Macaca fascicularis: one gene and its partner. The protein of the gene in region 2 purifies or fractionates together with the protein of the main gene of each other region. This does not show direct contact. Links are inferred from orthologs where the notes say so. Each region holds a gene or a part of one and is shown on either strand. Other genes may lie near its edges.

What was found. The genes of interacting proteins can lie anywhere in the genome.
Region 1: the proteins of COPS5 (region 2) and JUN purify together in Homo sapiens (affinity purification with western blotting; 3 studies listed by BioGRID and IntAct, with this or other methods). This does not show direct contact. The link is inferred for Macaca fascicularis from reciprocal best matches to the Homo sapiens genes COPS5 and JUN.

What each region holds. Positions count from the first base shown.
Region 1 is NC_088375.1:175,915,508-175,924,944, forward strand, and holds JUN (transcription factor Jun), read left to right. Parts: upstream 1-3,916; 5' UTR 3,917-4,894; coding exon 4,895-5,899; 3' UTR 5,900-6,655; downstream 6,656-9,437. UniProt on the Homo sapiens protein: Transcription factor that recognizes and binds to the AP-1 consensus motif 5'-TGA[GC]TCA-3'.
Region 2 is NC_088382.1:77,028,467-77,039,442, reverse strand, and holds the end of COPS5 (COP9 signalosome complex subunit 5), read left to right. Parts: intron 1-1,321; coding exon 1,322-1,433; intron 1,434-3,978; exon of another isoform or gene 3,979-4,152; intron 4,153-5,842; coding exon 5,843-5,991; intron 5,992-8,516; coding exon 8,517-8,601; 3' UTR 8,602-8,755; downstream 8,756-10,976. UniProt on the Homo sapiens protein: Probable protease subunit of the COP9 signalosome complex (CSN), a complex involved in various cellular and developmental processes.

The DNA of each region.
Region 1 (9,437 bases), on a different chromosome or scaffold from region 2:
GGTGGATCACCTGAGGTTGGGAGTTCAAGACAAGCCTGACCAACATGGAAAAATTCCGTCTCTACTAAAAATACAAAATTAGCCAGGCGTGGTGGTGCATGCCTGTAATTCCAGCTACTCAGGAGGCTGAGGCAGGAGAATCGCTTGAACCCGGGAGGTAGAGGTTGCGGTGAGCCGAGATCGTGCCATTGCACTCCAGCCAGACCAACAAGAGCAAAATTCCATCTCAGAAAAAAAAAAAAAAACCAGGATCAATTAAGATCTTACCCAGCATATGCTTTCAACTGGACAAAATGGCTCTGGGAAAAGGAAGAAAGGTCTAACTCTCCCACCAAAACCCAGTAAGCCCAAAGTGCTCAAAATCAAGTGAAGAGCAAGAGAGTAAGACAGCAGAAGAGAGACAGAGGAGTCAACAGGCAGGATAGCAGGAAAACAAAGAGATATGGCAAACCAAAGAAGTATATCTGGAAAAGAATTTTGTGGCTATTGGCACATGGAACACCTTATATCAGATAGATAAGAAGCCTACCTACACATATTCAATACTTAATGTCACTCTGCATCTCCCCAACTTTTAAAAGCTTCTTTAAAAGCATATTTTCCAATGCCTGCTTTAGCTGTGGAAAAGGAAGACTCTCCAAAGGCAAATCCAGGAATCATGGACAACAATGGACAGGGCAGCTTGGTGCTGTGACCACATGGCTCTTTAAGGTTGTCTCCCTTGAAAAAAGAACGAGGGAATTCCACCAGGGGAAGGAGAGAAGACCAAACATTTGGTGAACAGAAAGGGAGATAGAGTCTTTAGTGCTATTCCCCAAATATTCCTGGAGATCCCTTTGAGACACCTGGTAGGATTACAGTGACCTAAAGTTAGGCATGGCCATGTAACTCCTTTGGCCAATGATGTATGAGCAGAAGTGATGTGTGCCATTTCCAGGTGGATGCTCTGACAGCCATGATGTTCCGAGTTCCTTCCCCACAGACAGGATAGCCTTGAAAAGGGGTATCAAGACAAGGCCTCCTTGAGCCTGAGCCCTTGAGTGGCTACAATGAGCAGAGCTACCCTGCCAACCTACAATGGTCATGTAGCAGAAATGACAAACTTTCACTGGAATAAACCACTGATATGTTAGGGTTGTTTGTTACGGGAGCACAACACTGCCTTTCCTGACAGAACTGGGAGTGACAGATAAGGCTGGAGAGAGAAGTTAGATTGCGAAAAGCCCCTTCTCCCAGGCATAGGAATCGGAACACTCCTGGTTGTAAGGAAAAGCCAATGAAGGCTTCCAAGCAGGGGCATTAACATGAACAGATTTGTTATTTTTTTTGGATGAAATATGCTATTTCTCAACATAAGGAGAAGATCAGCCTACTAAACCACATGAGGCACAGAGGAACACACAGAACCCTTAGGTAAAAGATATATATTTATACAAAGTCCTAAGTCTTGAAATTTCTAAATACAGGAACTCTGAACGGAGTTATAGTCAGAGGATCAGGCAAGAAAATTTCTTTTATGCCACAAACGCTATTTCCTCTGCAGATAACTAATACTCCACAAGAAAGTTTGCCAGAGTAGAGAAAATACAAAGGAATGTAACACAGACCTGAGGTCAATTTCCAGGTGCATGTGTGTCCCAAACAAAGATACTTAACCTCTCTGGGCCTATTTCCTCACATGTTAAATCTGGTAATAATATATGTCTCTCAAGATGGTTGTGGGGAGAAAACAGCATACTTAAATTACTTAGGAGAATGCCTGGCAGATAAGTGTTTAATACATGAAACTTACTTTTATTACTGTTATAAAAAAATATTTAGAACACCAGCTCCCTGATTACAACAGAAAATTATTCAGGGCAACAGACAGAGGAGAATGTTCTCTCCTTGAGGAAGTAACTGGATCTTGTCATCACTGTAAACCTACCCCACCCCCTCCCCAGCTCAGCGCCTGGCTCACAGTAGGCTTTCAGTTACCCTCTGCAGATCAGTGAAAGCTAGGTGGGTGTACGGAGTGAAGAAAAGTTGGCAGGTTTCCCACTGATACCAGCTGCTGTTGGTTTCTGAACACTCAAAGCCGCAAATACCTTAGGGCTGGGGGCAATGAACCCTAGGCTGAATTCCAAGTTCAGAAACAGTGAGGTCTGAATTTAGAACCTAGGAACTTAAACTGCTGCAGGTCCAACTTCAAGCCCCAGTTCTAGACAGAGGCTTGGGAAAGAGCTGACTTCTAACCCTGTTCCCCCTCCCCTCCTCCCCTCGAAGCTTCTCACAGGAAAGTACACCTGGTCCTGCCAAATCGCACTCTTATATCCTGGCATCCTATCCAGGCTCTGCGAGGATGGAAACCGCGAGGCAGGGGAGGGAAGCGAGCTGTTTGGCCACCACCTCCCTAGTGCTGCAGGCGACCCTGTCACACTAACTCCCGGCAGCCCGGTGATGTGGACGGCACCGGCCCCACCTGCAGATGAGGGTAATGAAGCTCAGAGGAGTTCCGTGATTTGCTCGCTTCACACTGTTGCAGCCTGGCCACGAAAGAACAAGCATTCCCGACTTCGGGATTCTTTCCACCACACACTTTCGTCCCTAAGGGGTGGGGGGCGGGGGGAAGATAAAATAACAACCGCGGAAAAGGAACCACTTACATGTGTCTAGCGCTTCCTAGAGGCTACTCAGGATATGGGCCCACCACCCGGCCGGGAAGGTGGAGATTTGAAGTCCAGGTTCTACCCCGGGCTCCTGAGTTCTACTGCGTTACTTTATGCGAGTGTCCCCCGCCTTCTGAGCTTGTTTTCCCGGAAGCAACTCGGCGCGGGTGGAGAGTGTGTGCGTGTGTGTGTGTGTGTGTGCGCGCGCGCGCATGTTGTGCGTGTTGTGTTAAGCGTGTGTGTGTTGTCCGGGGGCGGGAAGGGGAGTAGACTAACACCGGGGTTCCCCGAGTTTCGGATCGCCTACACGCTTGTTCCCATCTGGACCCTGTTACCCACTAATTGCGCCCACTATAAAAACTGCCCCTCGGAGGCAAAGCTGTGATCCCCCGCGCCCTTTCCCCCACGGTCCCGGAGGATGAAGTGGGGTGCAACGGAGACTCAGCTGAGCGTCCAGTTTTGGGCAATACAAATCTCTCAGCTTCTAAGAGCAGCCAGACAACCCCGCGGACCATCGCTCCTGAACTTGACCGAGATGCAAACTTCGCAGCGTTTCTCAACGTGGGGGGCCGACTCTCGGGAGACCGCCCCCAAACTTAAGCCCCCTTAGGCTCGCCCCCAACTGGGACTTCACAGAGCCACCTTAAGGGCGGCGCTCCCGCCCCCCGGAAGTGCGGGGGGGCGGCGGACCTGGACTCTCAGCCTCCCGCCCCGCGCGGTGGCGGACGCCGGTGGATGACTTCGAGCCCCACAAGTGGGGAAACACAACCACCCCTCGCCCGCACCCTTGACCCAAAACAACTGGCCGGGTTCCCTGGCCTCCCGGGTCCCCGCATCCCCTGCATCCCAGTCCGCAGCCGTGAACTTGAGCCCCCTCCGTCAGATGTTGCGAGCGTCCGCCCGCTCGCGGCAGCCACCGTCACTAGACAGTCAAACCCCAAGACGTCAGCCCACAATGCACCGGGCGGGCCGGGAAAAACGGCCCGGGGAGGGGACCGGGGAAGAGAGGGCCGAGAGGCGTGCGGCAGGGGGGAGGGTAGGAGAAAGAAGGGCCCGACTGTAGGAGGGCAGCGGAGCATTACCTCATCCCGTGAGCCTCCGCGGGCCCAGAGAAGAATCTTCTAGGGTGGAGTCTCCATGGTGACGGGCGGGCCCGCCCCCCTGAGAGCGACGCGAGCCAATGGGAAGGCCTTGGGGTGACATCATGGGCTATTTTTAGGGGTTGACTGGTAGCAGATAAGTGTTGAGCTCGAGCTGGATAAGGGCTCAGAGTTGCACTGAGTGTGGCTGAAGCAGCGAGGCGGGAGTGGAGGTGCGCGGACTCAGGCAGGCAGACAGACACAACCAGCCAGCCAGGACGGCAGTATAGTCCGAACTGCAAATCTTATTTTCTTTTCCACCTTCTCTCCAACTGCCCAGAGCTAGCGCCTGTGGCTCCCGGGCTGGTGTTACGAGGAGTGCCCAGAGAGCCTGGTCTCCAGCCGCCCCCAGGAGGAGAGCCCTGCTGCCCAGGCGCTGTTGACAGCGGTGGCGAGCAGCGGTACCCACGCGCCCGCCGGGGGAAGTCGGCGAGCGACTGCAGCAGCAAAGAACTTTCTCGGCCCGGAGGGCCGGAGACAACTGGCCCAGAGTCCCGGAGCGAACTTTTGCAAGCCTTTCCTGCGTCTTAGGCTATTCGGCGGCGGTAAAGACCAGGAGGCGGCGGACAGCCACGCAAAAGAAGAAGGACGTGCGCTCAGCTTCGCTCGCACCGGTTGCTGAACTTGGGCGAGCGCGAGCCGCGGCTGCCGGGCGCCCCCTCCCCCTCGCAGCGGAGGAGGGGACAAGTCGTCGGAGTCTGGGCGGCCGAGACCCGCCGCTGGTCGGCCTCTGCGGGTCGGCACTGATCCGCGCCGCCGGGAGAGCCGCTGCTCTGGGAAGCGAGTTCGCCCGCGGACTCCAAGGAACGGCGGCGCCCGAAGAGCGCTCAGTGAGTGACCGCGACTTTTCAAAGCCGGGTAGCGCGCGCGCGAGTCGACAAGTAAGAGTGCGGGAGGCATCTTAATTAACCCTGCGCTCCCTGGAGCGAGCTGGTGAGGAGGGCGCAGCGGGGACGACAACCAGCGGGTGCGCGCGCTCTTAGAGAAACTTTCCCTGCCAAAGGCCCCGGGGGGCACGGGTGTCCCCCGCTTGCCAGAGCGCTGTTGCGGCCCCGAAACTTCAGCACGCAGCCCAAACTAACCTCACGTGAAGTGACGGACTGTTCTATGACTGCAAAGATGGAAACGACCTTCTATGATGATGCCCTCAACGCCTCGTTCCTCCCGTCCGAGAGCGGAGCTTATGGCTACAGTAACCCCAAGATCCTGAAACAGAGCATGACCCTGAACCTGGCCGACCCAGTGGGGAGCCTGAAGCCGCACCTCCGCGCCAAGAACTCGGACCTCCTCACCTCGCCCGACGTGGGGCTGCTCAAGCTGGCGTCGCCCGAGCTGGAGCGCCTGATAATCCAGTCCAGCAACGGGCACATCACCACCACGCCGACCCCCACCCAGTTCCTGTGCCCCAAGAACGTGACAGACGAGCAGGAGGGCTTCGCCGAGGGCTTCGTGCGCGCCCTGGCCGAACTGCACAGCCAGAACACGCTGCCCAGCGTCACGTCAGCGGCGCAGCCGGTCAGCGGGGCGGGCATGGTAGCTCCAGCGGTAGCCTCGGTGGCAGGGGGCAGCGGCAGCGGAGGCTTCAGCGCCAGCCTGCACAGCGAGCCGCCCGTCTACGCCAACCTCAGCAACTTCAACCCAGGCGCGCTGAGCAGCGGCGGCGGGGCGCCCTCCTACGGCGCGGCCGGCCTGGCCTTTCCCGCGCAACCCCAGCAGCAGCAGCCGCCGCCGCAGCCGCCGCACCACCTGCCCCAGCAGATGCCCGTGCAGCACCCGCGGCTGCAAGCCCTGAAGGAGGAGCCTCAGACAGTGCCCGAGATGCCTGGCGAGACGCCGCCCCTGTCCCCCATTGACATGGAGTCCCAGGAGCGGATCAAGGCGGAGAGGAAGCGTATGAGGAACCGCATTGCTGCCTCCAAGTGCCGAAAAAGGAAGCTGGAGAGAATCGCCCGGCTGGAGGAAAAAGTGAAAACCTTGAAAGCTCAGAACTCGGAGCTGGCGTCCACGGCCAACATGCTCAGGGAACAGGTGGCACAGCTTAAACAGAAAGTCATGAACCACGTTAACAGTGGGTGCCAACTCATGCTAACGCAGCAGTTGCAAACATTTTGAAGAGAGACTGTTGGGGGCTGAGGGGCAACGGAGAAAAAAAATAACACAGAGAGACAGACTTGAAAACTTGACAAGTTGCGACGGAGAGAAAAAAGAAGTGTCCGAGAACTAAAGCCAAGGGTATCCAAGTTGGACTGGGTTGCGTCCTGACGGCGCCCCCAGTGTGCACGAGTGGGAAGGACTTGGCGCGCCCTCCCTTGGCGTGGAGCCAGGGAGCGGCCGCCTGCGGGCTGCCCCGCTTTGCGGACGGGCTGTCCCCGCGCGGACGGAACGTTGGACTTTTCGTTAACATTGACCAAGAACTGCATGGACCTAACATTCGATCTCATTCAGTATTAAAGGGGGGAGGGGGAGGGGGTTACAAACTGCAATAGAGACTGTAGATTGCTTCTGTAGTACTCATTAAGAACACAAAGCGGGGGGGAGGGCTGGGGAGGGGCGGCAGGAGGGAGGTTTGTGAGAGCGAGGCTGAGCCTACAGATGAACTCTTTCTGGCCTGCCTTCGTTAACTGTGTATGTACATATATATATTTTTTAATTTGATGAAAGCTGATTACTGTCAATAAACAGCTTCATGCCTTTGTAAGTTATTTCTTGTTTGTTTGTTTGGGTGTCCTGCCCAGTGTTGTTTGTAAATAAGAGATTTGGAGCACTCTGAGTTTACCATTTGTAATAAAGTATATAATTTTTTTATGTTTTGTTTCTGAAAATTCCAGAAAGGATATTTAAGAAAATACAATAAACTATTGAAAAGTACTCCCCTAACCTCTTTTCTGCATCATCTATAGATACTAGCTATCTAGGTGGAGTTGAAAGAGTTAAGAATGTCAATTAAAATCACTCTCAGTGCTTCTTACTATCAAGCAGTAAAAACTGTTCTCTATTAGACTTTAGAAATAAATGTTCCTGATGTACCTGCTTCTATGGTCAGGTTATACTCTTCTTCCCCCAGCTATCTATATGGAATTGCTTACCAAAGGATAGTGCGATGTTTCAGGAGGCTGGAGGAAGGGGGGGAGTGTGTTGCAGTGGAGAGGGACAGCCCACTGGGAAGTCAAACATTTCAAAGTTTGGGATTGTATCAAGTGGCATGTGCTGTGACCATTTATAATGTTAGTAGAAATTTAACAATAGATGCTTATTCTCAAAGCAGGAATTGGTGGCAGATTTTACAAAAGATGTATCCTTCCAATTTGGAATCTTCTCTTTGACAATTCCTAGATTAAAAGATGGCCTTTGCTTATGAATATTTATAACAGCATTCTTGTCACAATAAATGTATTCAAATACCAATAACAGATCTTGAATTGCTTCCCTTTACTACTTTTTTCTTCCCAAGTAATATACTGAAGCTTTTATTTTTAGTTGCTGAGGTTAACATTGCTGCAATCTGAAGTGACTTGAAAATTAAGAAGCAAAGAATTTAGGAAGAGTCAAACTGGAAGTTGTGATCTGAATGAAACAGTCTCCCAATTTTATTAATTCCCTCCTCTCTACTACCACCCTTTACCCCCAAATAAATACCTATGTCTAAGGAAACTAGCAGTTTAGCATTTTGGATCTGTCTATAGTTTATTTCTTAATTTGTTTCTCAAATAATCAACCTTGTTTAAGTAATTATAGAATCAGTCTCAAAAGATAGTAATCTAATACTATGGAAAAGATTCGCAAGAGAAAACATGAACACCAACTCAATGATTACATGCATAAATCAAACCTCAGCTCTAGGGAAATGGGAAACTTAAATTCTGACTACAGATGTAACTTAGGAGATCAACAAGGCAGTGCTCAACAAGGGAACAATTTTTTGCTTGGTTGCTTTTCATCCCAAGAGCCAGTGTGATTATCAGGCAGCAAAAGCAATTTGATATCCAGGAATATTTCACAAACCACTAATTGAGGCAGGGCTGTTTGCTCATTAGCAATGTTCTAGTACCCAATAGGTCTGGGAGTGCTAATATCCTGCCTGTGGCTGTAAATCCAAATACACAGAGTTTCTCCTTAGGAGTATCTCTAGGAGTGGAAGAGATTGGACAGGCTTGTTAGCTTCGGGTATACTCTCCCTTGTAATAACACTTCTTGAACAAAGGGTTACTGGGAGCAGAGCCCGGTTTGCCAAACTGAATTTGCCGATGTCAGCAACCCGGAAGGTGAGATGATTTTGACCATATGTAGAAATAGCAGAGGGACAATAAAGCACTTTGGGGTGGGGCTCTGTGGAAGCTAAACAAGAGCCAACTAGAAAAAATAAGCAGGCTGGGGAATTAATTACCTGCAAAGGTAGACTAAGCCCAGACAACAGTACAGCACAGAAAAGCCACACCACTCCCCAGTTTGCTTTAGATTTCAGTGTTTAAAAAAAAAAAAAAAAAAAAGTCTGAAACTCAGGCCTATCCCCATGCCTGATTGTTTCAATTAACATTCTAAATGTATAGTCTTGAAATTCTAACCATTCTAACCAAAAGGGGTGGAAATAAATAATTGTGGTAGAGGAAATTAACCATGATCTCTGGTAAATTTTGGAGACAAAAGATTAACTGCTTATAAACACTTAATGGTTAACTTCATTATGGGCCTTCAATGAGTTAATCTTTAGGTAACACTAATAGTTGGAGCAGATGAAGCTAGTGACACATAGTTATTAATCCTCTTAATTTGTTTTACACATATATGTTACATATATAAAATAATTCAATCAGGGACATAACCCTCTGTGTCTATCAAGACAGAGAGTTCATGAACTCAATGAAAATGCCCAGAAAGTTGTGTGTGTGTGTCTGTACACACTCTTCTGAGGAGAGAGATTATTGCTTTTATTTGACCCTCCCAGAGTTCCATGACTCAAAAAAAAAAAAAAAAAAAAAAAAGTTGATAAACCACGAACCGACCAGCTTACATGCCCACTATCAGAAACATATCTTTGTATGAATCTAAATCCCTTGCTTTTTCACCCCTTCATGTTTCTGCTTGCATGTATTTGCCTGGAATACCTTTCCTTCTAGTTCAACTGATAAATCCTACCCATTCTTCAAGTCTTGGCGTAAGTGACACCTTCTCTGTAAAGCTTCTGTTGGTAACTCCATCTTCAAAGGGAATTAATAATTCCCTAGTGAGCATGATAACATTTCATGAAAAATCCTATGATAGCACTTACCAAAATGTGTTATGAACCTCTGTGTCTCCCGGTCAGAACCCTATCCTCTTCATCAATGGACTCCCAAACTTCTAATGCAGCGCCTAGCATATAGTAGATGTTCATGAAATAAACGTTTGATGACTGAAAGAACAAGTGAGCTCAAACCCTCCTCCAACATAATTCCAAGTCTCAGTTTCTTCTCGTAAATATACTTCATTCATTTCCAGGTGCATAACTCGCGATGGATCAACCTTCACCTCCTCAAAGTCAAACCTGGCCAACCCTCAAGTTCTAAAGCCTAGTTCTTAGTGAGTGTTCTTAAAAGAATTAAACTATTAACACATTCATACATCCAGCCACACACAGTGTCCCTTCCTGCCTCCACTAATACAAGTGGGCATC
Region 2 (10,976 bases):
TGGGAGTTCAAGACCAGCCTGACCAACATCGTGAAACCCCATCTCTACTAAAAATACAAAAATTAGCTGGGCGTGGTGGAGGGTGCCTGTAGTCCCAGCTACTTGGGAGGCTGAGGCAGGAGAATCGCTTGAACTCAGGAAGCAGAGGTTATGGTGAGCTGTGATCGCGCCATTGCACTCCAGCCTGGGCAACCAAGCAAGACTCCATCTCAAAAAAAAAAAAAAAAATGTTCTTAACCTTTTATGTAACATCCTTCACCACCTAGACCCCAGCATAGCTTTCTAGCTTCCCCTCACATAATTCTTCTCTTGCTAAATTTTCCAGCTAAACCCATTGCCTTATTATCCCTTACATGTCTTTCCTTTTCGTGTGTTGATGCTCTCTGCCTAATGCCCTCCTTGCTCTCCACATATCCGTACCATAGACTCAAAAATGGTTACCCTACACCTTGCCTTTTCCCTGAGGCTTCTCAGGCAGTTCTAGCTCCAAGTGATCACTTGAGCTCCTCTATATGAAGAATGCTTATTAATCTCTAACCTTTAGTTGGTAGGTGATTCATTTTATATAGCACTGTAGCATCACTTACTGTTATTCAATGTATATCTTCATATTTAATTTTTTTGTGGGTTTAGACCACATCCCCCATATAAATGTTGAGTTCCTTAAGGTAAAGATGTCTCTTATCCTTTTTTATATCCGTTGATACACGAAGCATGTGTAAGTTTAAGATGTAAGTTTACATCTTAAAAATACATATATTTTTCAGACATTTAACTAGATTTTTCCTTACTATGCCCTGATGATAAATTAGGCACCTTTGAAAGTGGGACCAATTACTTTGGATGCCTTAAGGACCTACCTTAAAATTTGCTTTTCAAAAAGCAGTAGGTCCTAACTGGGGAATTAGGAAGGGAATAATGGAATCCACATGTCATTTTTATTATTTAAAGAGACTAACAAAAATTATAGTTGACTCTAGAGAGGCAGCTCATTAAGTTTATGTGCTGTTGGCTTAATTTATGAACTCAGTAACAGGAATAAACTTGTCATTCAGAAGTTCTGACTGGTTGTTAATAACATTTTGGGAATTTCTGGGCTCTACAGAAAAAAAGGAATAAAACAAGAAGTTTAGTAGGAGATTTGGATCCACAACCCTTGAAGTGTGAGGAAACCATGGTTAGCTCTTGCCTCATTGGAATAAAAACTAAAACATGAATATTTGAGAATAAAGTGTAATTCACTTAAAACTAGCCATAACTTTTATGTGATGTAGTTGAATATTTTTTTTTACTTACTAAATTTTGTGCTTTTATTTCATAGATATTATGCCTTAGAAGTCTCATATTTTAAATCCTCTTTGGATCGCAAATTGCTCGAGCTGTTGTGGAATAAATATTGGGTGAATACGTTGAGTTCCTCTAGCTTGCTTACTGTAAGTACTATACTTGTAAGGAATGCATTTGAATTTTATCTAAGCTCCATAGACCTTTAATATCTCAAACACTGTTTCACAGAAAGGCTGTACCTGACTTGGCCAAGACACCAGGGCTAGGGTGGGATTCTGCACCACCAGAGCTGGATTAGGATGCTAGGCCAATTCAGGATCTGTGTCATGACTCACAGAGACCAAGTCTAAGTAGCAAATAGAGTGTCCAGATCAGGGTGAGATCTGCCCCTGCCATAAAGAGATTTACGGATAAAAAAAAAATACACATACTGATTTTTGTGTGTCAAGTGTCTCAGCTTGGACTCTTGATTACAAGTAACAGGATACCTAATGAAACTAGCTTAAACAAGAAAGGGAATTGTCTAAGTTGCAAAGTTGAGGAATAGGGCTTAACTCAGGCACAGCTAAGTTTGCATTCAAACAATATTATGAGGTCTTGGTTTTTTTTCTCTCTCTTAGCATTGATTTCATCTTAGTTACCACTACTTTTAGGCTTCATGTGAAAGCAAGACAGCAGCTTTAGCTTTAGACCTCCAAGCCTCTCAGTTTCATGTTCAAAGAGAAGATCAAGATACACACACACACACATACTCAAACACACACTCACATATTCCCAGGCAAAACTTCATTGTGTCTGACTGGCTTTACTTAATCACATACCTATCTTTAGGCCTGGTGTGGGCCAACTGAATAAGCTTGATGAGTGGCTAGGGCCACAGCAAGTGCTTTACTGCTGGGCCACATCGTAGAAAACTCCTTCAGGAGCTCAAGGACTAAAAATGGGTAAGGAGAGGTTCCCACAGGGAATCAGAATAGCATTACTTTAAAGCAGTAGATACTGGGAGACACATCGCAGTATATATCTATATAGTGGTTAGAACCACAGGATTTAGAATTAAATAAACTGGGTTTGGAGAATATGAGCTACAGCAGCAGGAGTCATAGCAGGACCAGCACTTAGAAGTTTCTTACGCTCTTTGATCGAGTATTGGTTGAAAGGAGTACAGCTGAAACTGTAACCAAAGGAGGCATTACACTTCCAGAAAAATCTTAAGGTAAAGCATTGCTAGCAACGGTAGTAGCTGTTGGATTGAGCTTTCAAGGAAAAGGTGGATTCAGCCAGTTAATGTGAAAGTTAGAGATAAAGAATTATTCTCCCAGAATATGGAGGCACCAAAGTAGAGAACTACTTTGCCACTCTTCAGGTTTATTCAGTTGACCTGGAAGGCCAAGGATTTGATTTTTTTTTTTTTTTTTTTTTTTTTTTTGAGACAGGGTCTCTGTCTGTTGTCCAGGCTAATGTGGTGGCACGATCTCAGCTCACTGCAGCCTCAACCTCCCAGGCTTGAGCGATCCTCCCACCTCAGCCTCCCAAGTAGCTGGTATTACAAGGGTGAGCCACCACACCTGGCTAATTTTTGTATCTTTTTGTGGAGACAGGGTTTTGCCATGTTGCCCAAGCTGGCTTCATGAACTCCTAGGTTTGAGCAATCTGCCCGCCTTGGCCTCCCAAAGTGCTAGCATTACAGGCTGTGAGCCACCATGCCTAGCCAGATTATTTCTTATTTAGAGATGCTGACATTCTTAGAAAGTATGTAGACTGAAGTAAATCACTATTGAAATGCCATCAACATGAAGCTGCTCATTGCACTTAAGTTCTGAAATATTTAATTATGTAAATTTCCATGTCTCTTCTATAATAAATGGTATCTATACTAAAAAATAAAATTGACTTTGAAAACAACTCTGTCACTTTACTAGTTCTGAGTGACTTTCAGAAAGTTATTTAATGTGACTAAGCATTTCTTTGTTGTGAAATGGTGATATACTACATACATCATTAAGTACTCTGAGAGAATTAAATGGGCTACTTTATATAAAGCAATTAGTAAAGTGTCTGGCATATAATAAAGCCTCAGTAAATGATTTTTTTTTAATTTGGTGCATTATATTCATGGGAAAAGACTTCACTTAAGCCTGTTATTTACTGGATTTTTTTTTAGGCTAGTCAAGTGAAGCAGTGTATTTACTGTTATTTTAAATACAACTCTGACAAGCTTTCTGTTCTTTTTTTTCTTTTTTCCTTTTTTTTTAAATTTTATTTTATTTTGAGACAGGATCTCACTCTGTTGCCCAGGCTGAAGTACAGTGGTACAATCACATCTCACTATAGCCTGGACCTCCTGGACTTAGGTGATTTTCCCACCTCAGCCTCCTGAGTAGCTGGGACTACAGGGATGTACACCACCATGCCTGACTAATTTTCTGTATTTTTTCATAGAGACAGGGTTTCACCATGTTGTCCAGGGTGGTCTGGAGCTCCTGGGCACAAGTCTTCTACCCACCTCGGCCTCACAAAGTGCTGGGATTACAGGCATGAGCCATGGCAACCAGCATTTGTTCTTATTTCTTATCTTTAGTAGTCAGAAGTAGCAAATTAGGATGGAGAATGATCATAATAGCAAATATGTGTTACATGCTTCCTATGTGCCAGACACTGCTAAGTGCTTTATATGTGTTGTTTCCTTAGAGGCAAGTATACTAATAGCAGCCAGAAGTGACACCTGATGGCAAGGGGAGAAAACACTGTAAGACCAGAGCAGTCTGAACCTTTGTATAAGGCAAGCAGATCTACCTACTCAGCCCAATGTCTGTCCCTGTATTCCAGCACTGCATAGATGAGGACATTAATAATCAAGAAAAGGTTAAATTACATTTCTGCCTTTTTTTTGTTTTATGTATAGTACATTGCAGCATTTTAAGAACAAATATGTAGACATATGTTCAACTTCTCTCTTCCCCCAGCTAAGGAAGTTCATTATAGCATGTAACCTAAGTTATTTTCTAATTTAAGAAATTAGTTTACTATATTCATTTTGTGTACATTTGAAATGTAATTGGATATCTTTTATTGTCATTTTAATAGTATAACTATTTCTGGTAGCCTATATTTTTATGGCTTAAATAGCTCTATAAACTTTAGGGTTTTTTCCAAGTCTGCGGGAGGAAAAACATACTGGTTTCCTAAACCATTTAGATCCAGACAAAATGAATATACTTGCATCTTTTAAAAATACTAAGTTTGTAAAAGTCACTGGAAGAACTGGTATGGCAGCAAATAACTTTTCTTGTTTGGTGACTGACTGTCTTTCCTTGCAAGCTGAGCAAATAGAATGACATGCTACTTTTTGCCAACTAGTTTATTTCCTCTTCACACTCTTCTATTGAAGATCTAGGAAAGAAATATAATGTATACTTAATAACTTTGTGAAATTTTTTTGTGTGTTTTAGACTACAATTAAAAAAGTATACCCCATAAAAATATTGGTAAAATATGTAATATTATAGTTTTTCAAATGTAGGTATACATGTAAGCATATAGCAATGCTCTGTAATTGTGGTTAAAGCTAAATGAAGAGATTATAAATGTGTTTGTTTTCTTCTTTATATTGCTCTACATTTTCCAAATTTTTTTGTATAATTATTAATTTTGTAACCAGAAAAGATTTTTTGTTTGTTTGTTTGTTTGTTTTTTAAAGACAGAGTTTTGCTCTTGTTGCCCAGGCTAGAGTACAATGGCACGATTTCGGCTCACTGCAACCTCCGCCTCCTGGGTTCAAGTGATTCTCCTGCCTCAGCCTCCCAAGTAGCTGGGATTACAGGCTCCTGCCACCACGCCCAGCTATTTTTTTTTGTATTTTTAGTAGAGATGGGGTTTCATCTTGTTGGCCAGGCTGGTCTCAAACTCCTGACCTCAGGTGATCCACCTGCCTCAGCCTCTCAAAATGCGGATTATAGGCATGAGCCACCGCGCCCGACCCAGAAAAGCTTTTAAAATGTTATTTTTATCAATATTGTCATAAGTACTAATTCTAAAAGTTCAACAAAAATAATAGCAAAATTAGCTAATATTACTAAGCCTTTACTAGGTGTCATGGACAGTGCCAAAAACTTTATATGCATTACTTCATTTAATTTTCACTGTAGCTCTAAGGTAGGAATTATCGACTCCCTTACCATTTTCAGAAGAGAACCTGGAGGCATACTTCAGGCCTTCAACTAATCTGCCATACTTCCAGAACTTGGACTTAGGTCTGTATACTTGACAGCCTCCCATAATAACAAATATTAGATTTAAGCAGTCAAGGAGAAAAATTCCAAGTAATCTTGAAATTATAAAAGGGAAAACATCTATCTACTCTTGAACTACCTGAATTTGGAAGCAGATTTGCAAATGTAATTTGATTTCTCTTCTCACTGACTATTCACTCAGATTTTATAGTGGAATTCTTTGCAAATGAAATATTCTTTGTAGGAAATTAGTTTACATTAAAATAGATTTTTTAAATGGTAGACTTATGTTTTGTAGTGACACAATACCATTTTCCCCACAGAATGCAGACTATACCACTGGTCAGGTCTTTGATTTGTCTGAAAAGTTAGAGCAGTCAGAAGCCCAGCTGGGACGAGGGAGTTTCATGCTGGGTTTGGAAACGCATGACAGAAAATCAGAAGACAAACTTGCCAAAGCTACGAGAGACAGGTAAGAGTAAATCTGTAAGATTCTTGTTGCCCCTAACTCTTTTTCTTTCAAAATTTGCAAACAATAGTAGGATTCAGATTCCTTATGGCTCAACTTAGTTACGACTTAGAACGGTACCTGAATATTAACTTCTTGGAAACTTTAGGAGCTGTCAGACACAAGTTTTAACTTTGAAAAATTTAGGATACATCAGGTAAGAACATTAAAAGGCTTAAATCAAAGATCTAAGCAGTGTTATGGAACACTCCCAGTCACCTTTTCTAAGTTCAACTAGAAAGTGTAACAAAACCAGCCCTTCAGTGGATCTTTAAAGTGTGTGTGTGTGTGTGTGTGTGTGTGTGTGTGTGTGTAAGTAACTAGGATTTCTTTTTTTTGAGACAGAGTCTTGCTCTGTCACCCAGGCTGGAGTACAGTGGTACAATGGTGTGATCTTGGCTCACTGCAACCTCCGCCTACTGGATGCAAGCAATTCTCCTGCCTCAGCCTCCTAGGTAACTGGGAATATAGGCACCCACCATCATGCTTGGCTAATTTTTTTGTATTTTTTGTAGAGATGGGGTTTCACCATGTTGGCCAGGCTGGTCTTGAACTCCTGACCTCAGGTGATCCACCCACCTGGGCCTCCCAAAGTGCTGGGATTACAGGCACGAACCACCGCGCCCAGCCAAAATTAGGATTTCTTAAATTTATAATATTTTAATATTCAATAAAGCTTTAAATCCTAAGATATTACGGAAGTGATTGTCTCTCTCTCAAATTGTGCTTCTAAAACAGTAATTTAGTATCCCAAATTTTACTACCAAAGATTTTATTAGGAACAAATTTGGGATATGTTCTCTAATAACTTATGAAATAATTATGTGGACCTTCAGATATATAGGCTATACAAAGTTGCATAGATTAACAACATTTACTTTCACAGAAATTTGAATTTTAGGCTGGGCACAGTGGCTCACACCTGTAATCCCAGCACTTTGGGAGGCCAAGGCGGGCAGATCACCTGAGGTCAGGAGTTCAAGACCAGCCTGGCCAACATGGTAAAAGCCCGTCTCTACTAAAAATACAAAAATTAGCCAGGCGTGGTGGCGGGCGCCTGTAATCCCAGCTACTCGGGAGGCCGTGGCAGGAGCATCGCCTCAACCCAGGAGGTGGAGATTGCAGTGAGCCAAGATGGCGCCATTTCACTCCAGCCTGGCCAACAAGAGTGAACCTCTGTCTCAAAAAAAGAAAGAAAGAAAAGAAATTTGAATTGTAATGCAATAATTAGGGGCAGAAAGGAAGGGAGAACTACATTGACTTCTATACACACTTACATGTTGGTATCTATTTTAAGAACTGGTTTGGTTTATAGGGAAAAGAGGAGAAAAGGGTCCCTGAAGTGTATCCTGGGATTGGAGGTCATTTTGGGTTAGCCTTATTTCACTGCCATCTACTCAGTGGGTTTTTAGAAGGTAGAGCTAGTGGCCTGCATAAAAGTTGCATTTTTCGGCTGGGCATGGTGACACATGCTTATAATACCAGCACTTTGGGAGGCCAAGGCAGGCATATTGCTTGAGCTCAAGAGTTCAAAACCAGCCTGGGCAACATGGCAAAACCCCATCTCTGCAAAAATTACGAAAAAAATTAGCTGGGCATGGTGGCACACATCTGTGGTTCCAGCTACTTAGGAGCCTGAGGCACAAGAATCACTGGAGCCTAGGAGGCAGAGGTTGCGGTGACCCATGATTGTGCCACTGCACTCCAGCCTGGGTGACAGAGTGAGACACTGTCTCCAAAAAAAAGTATTTTTCGTTGGCATTAGTTGTCATTTTAGATACTTGCTTTGAGTGTGTTTTGTTCCTCTGTCTTTATGTATGTAATTTATCAGTTTATCTACATTTATTTCTCAATGTCTTATGAAGCAAAAATTTTACTATGGCAATGTCTTCAATTATATAAGAAATAGAACAGAAGTAGTAATCAAAAGTAGAGTATTTTCCTTTTTGCGGTAGCTTTACAAGAATTGCATCTCTTCTGAATATTGATGGGGTTTTTTCATTGCTTTTTGCCTTATACTTTTTATCATTTCTAAAATCTAAGGCCTTCACCCGCTAATCTAACTTTGACTTCTAATTGTTGGAGGACAATTGCTTGTGATTATTTCAGGAAAAAAAATAGTATTCTTCAAAATTATTTTTCAAATTATCCCAAGTAATAAACAAGGAATAACAGATTATAATGTAATATAATATTGGAATCAATCTCTAATTACAGGTTTGTATAATTTTACTCACCTTCTAAAACAGAACAATTGTATCAAATTTTATGTGTCATTCTCTTGTGAAAGTTCTAGTAAGTAATGAAATGGTTAAAAAGACATGTGGAAGACTAATAAAATAACAAGGGAAAACTTCACATTGGGGTGGTTTGAGAAGTATGAATAAAACCAAACTCATTGGAGTTACATGGATGGATTGGGGCTGATCTTGTGTGTTTGAAATAGTTTTCAATTTATGACATCATGTGATGTGTGTTTTGTTTTCCAGCTGTAAAACTACCATAGAAGCTATCCATGGATTGATGTCTCAGGTTATTAAGGATAAACTGTTTAATCAAATTAACATCTCTTAAACGGTCTCTGAGAAGTACTTTACCTGAAAGACAGTATAAGAAAAATATTCAAGTAACACTTTAAAACCAGTTACCCAAAATCTGATTAGAAGTATAAGGTGCTCTGAAGTGTCCTAAATATTAACATCCTGTAATAAAACTCTTTAAAATGAAATTGTCCTTTCATTTTTTTGTGGGAAGATTCACAATATTTTTCTAGTATCCATTATGGTTCCTGAATATGAGAGAAAATATATTTATTAGAACTTTCTATTTTTAAGAGTTTAGACTAACTAAATTAGTCAAAGAATTTCAGCATTTCACTTGCCATACTGTCAGAACCACTTTTCAATTTGTCCCTTCTTTTGACTGTCTATAAGTAAAATATAATTTAACAGTTAATTATTTTAATAATGTAACAGGAACACTTTTAATGTTCCCACAAAACATTAGCTGAGTGGTACCATAAATTATTTTCCTGAAAATCAAATATTTATTAGAGACAGCCTAGCACAGGGTATCTAGTCCTTCACATATTCATCACATACCTTTCCTGAACAGGCGACTGTTACTCTCTGGAAATATGCTAAACAAGCTGGACATGGCCACTGTCCTCACAGAACTTCTGGAGGCTAAAGCTTAATTAACAAGAACTTAAAGATACTGCTATGAGGGGAGAAATAAAGTGTGTTGGGGACTCTTGAGGAGGAATGCATATCCTCAAGAGGGGTTGGCAGAGTTGGCTTCCTGAAGGATGTGGCCTGACCATTAAGTTGAAATATGAAAGGATTAGTCAGAAAGAGTAATAGGGAGGTGATTACTATTACAGGCAGGGAGTACAGCAGTATGTAGAAGCTCAGAGGTAGAAAGCAAGAACCTAGAACCTTCAAGGAAATGAGATTCAGTTAGACTTAAGATTGGTAAGTAGAGCCAAGCATGGTGACTCACACCTGTAACCCCAGCACTTTGGGAAGCTAAGGCAGGAGAATTGCTTGAGCTCAGCAATTCAAGACCAGCCTGGGTAAATGGCGAAATGCCATCTCTACTAAAAGTACAAAAAAATACCCAGGTGTGGTAGTACGTGCCTGTGGTCCCAACTACTTGGGAGGCTGAGGTGGGAAGACCACTTGAGCCAGTGGCAGGGGTTGGGGGTGCAGTGAGCCGTGATCGCACTACTGCACTCCAGCCTGGGTGACAGAGTGAGACCCTGTCTCAAAAAAATAAAAGATATACATATATATGTGTATGTATATATATACATACATATGTGAGTAGGACTTGGGGAGTGACGAGAGATGACTTCAGAGGTAGGACCAGGGTAGATCCTGCGGTGGTATTCTGGAGTGTATCCTCACAGCATTAGGGAGTTAGAGAGTTTTAAACAGAGCAAAAATGTACTGTATTGTCTTTTCTAAGAGCTTCCTGTTGAGAGATTTGGCAGTAAAGCCTAGATGACAGCAAATGAGATAACCCTTGGAGAATAAAGAATGAGAAGAGGGTCCAAGACTGAATCATGAAAACATCAGATATTTAAAATGGGCAGAGGAAGAGGAGACCACACGAGCCAAGGAGTAAGAAACCTTTAAAAATGAAGTTACAGCAGGGCACGGTGGCATGGCCCATAATACCAGCATTTTGGAAGGCTGAGGCGGGAGGGTCACTTGAGCCCAGCAGTTTAATACCAGCCTGGGCAACATAGCAAAACCATCTCTCTACAAAAAACATACAAAAATTAACCAGGCATGGTGGCATGCACCTGTGGTCCCAGCTACTTGGGAGGCTTAAGTGGGAGGATCACCTGAGCCCAGGAAGTTGAGGTGGCAGTGAGCCATAATCGCACCTCTGCACTCCAGCCTGGGCAACAGAGTGAGTCCCTGTCTCTAAATTAAATAATAGGAACTTACCAGTGACTTCACATGCTACAAATGGTCAAGGAAAAGAAAACATGAGTTTTGTTAGAGTTAGCAATGAGGCAGCTTTTGGTTAAGATGCGGAAGCCAATTAATATTAATATCCAAATACTTGGTTGCTGATATATTAACATTTTGATCTGTTTTATGTCCCTTTAAAGGAGGCATCCCCCCGCCCCCAATTTCAGATAGCACAACCTGACCTCTATTTTTATGCACTTTAAAACAAAAATCATGAGCCAGGAGCGGTGGCTCATACCTTCAATCCTAGCACTTTGAGAGGCTGAGGTGGGTGGATCGCTTGAGCTCAGGAGTTCAGGACCAGCCTGGGCAACAAGGTGAAACCCTGTCTCTACAGAAAAAAAAAAAAAAAAAAAAAATTCTGCCCCCAAGGAACAGCCAAAATCTGCAGTTACTGCCACAGATAGATATAGCAACACCAGCATCATATTGAGTCATTCTCGGAAAACGAATTGAGGTTTCTCT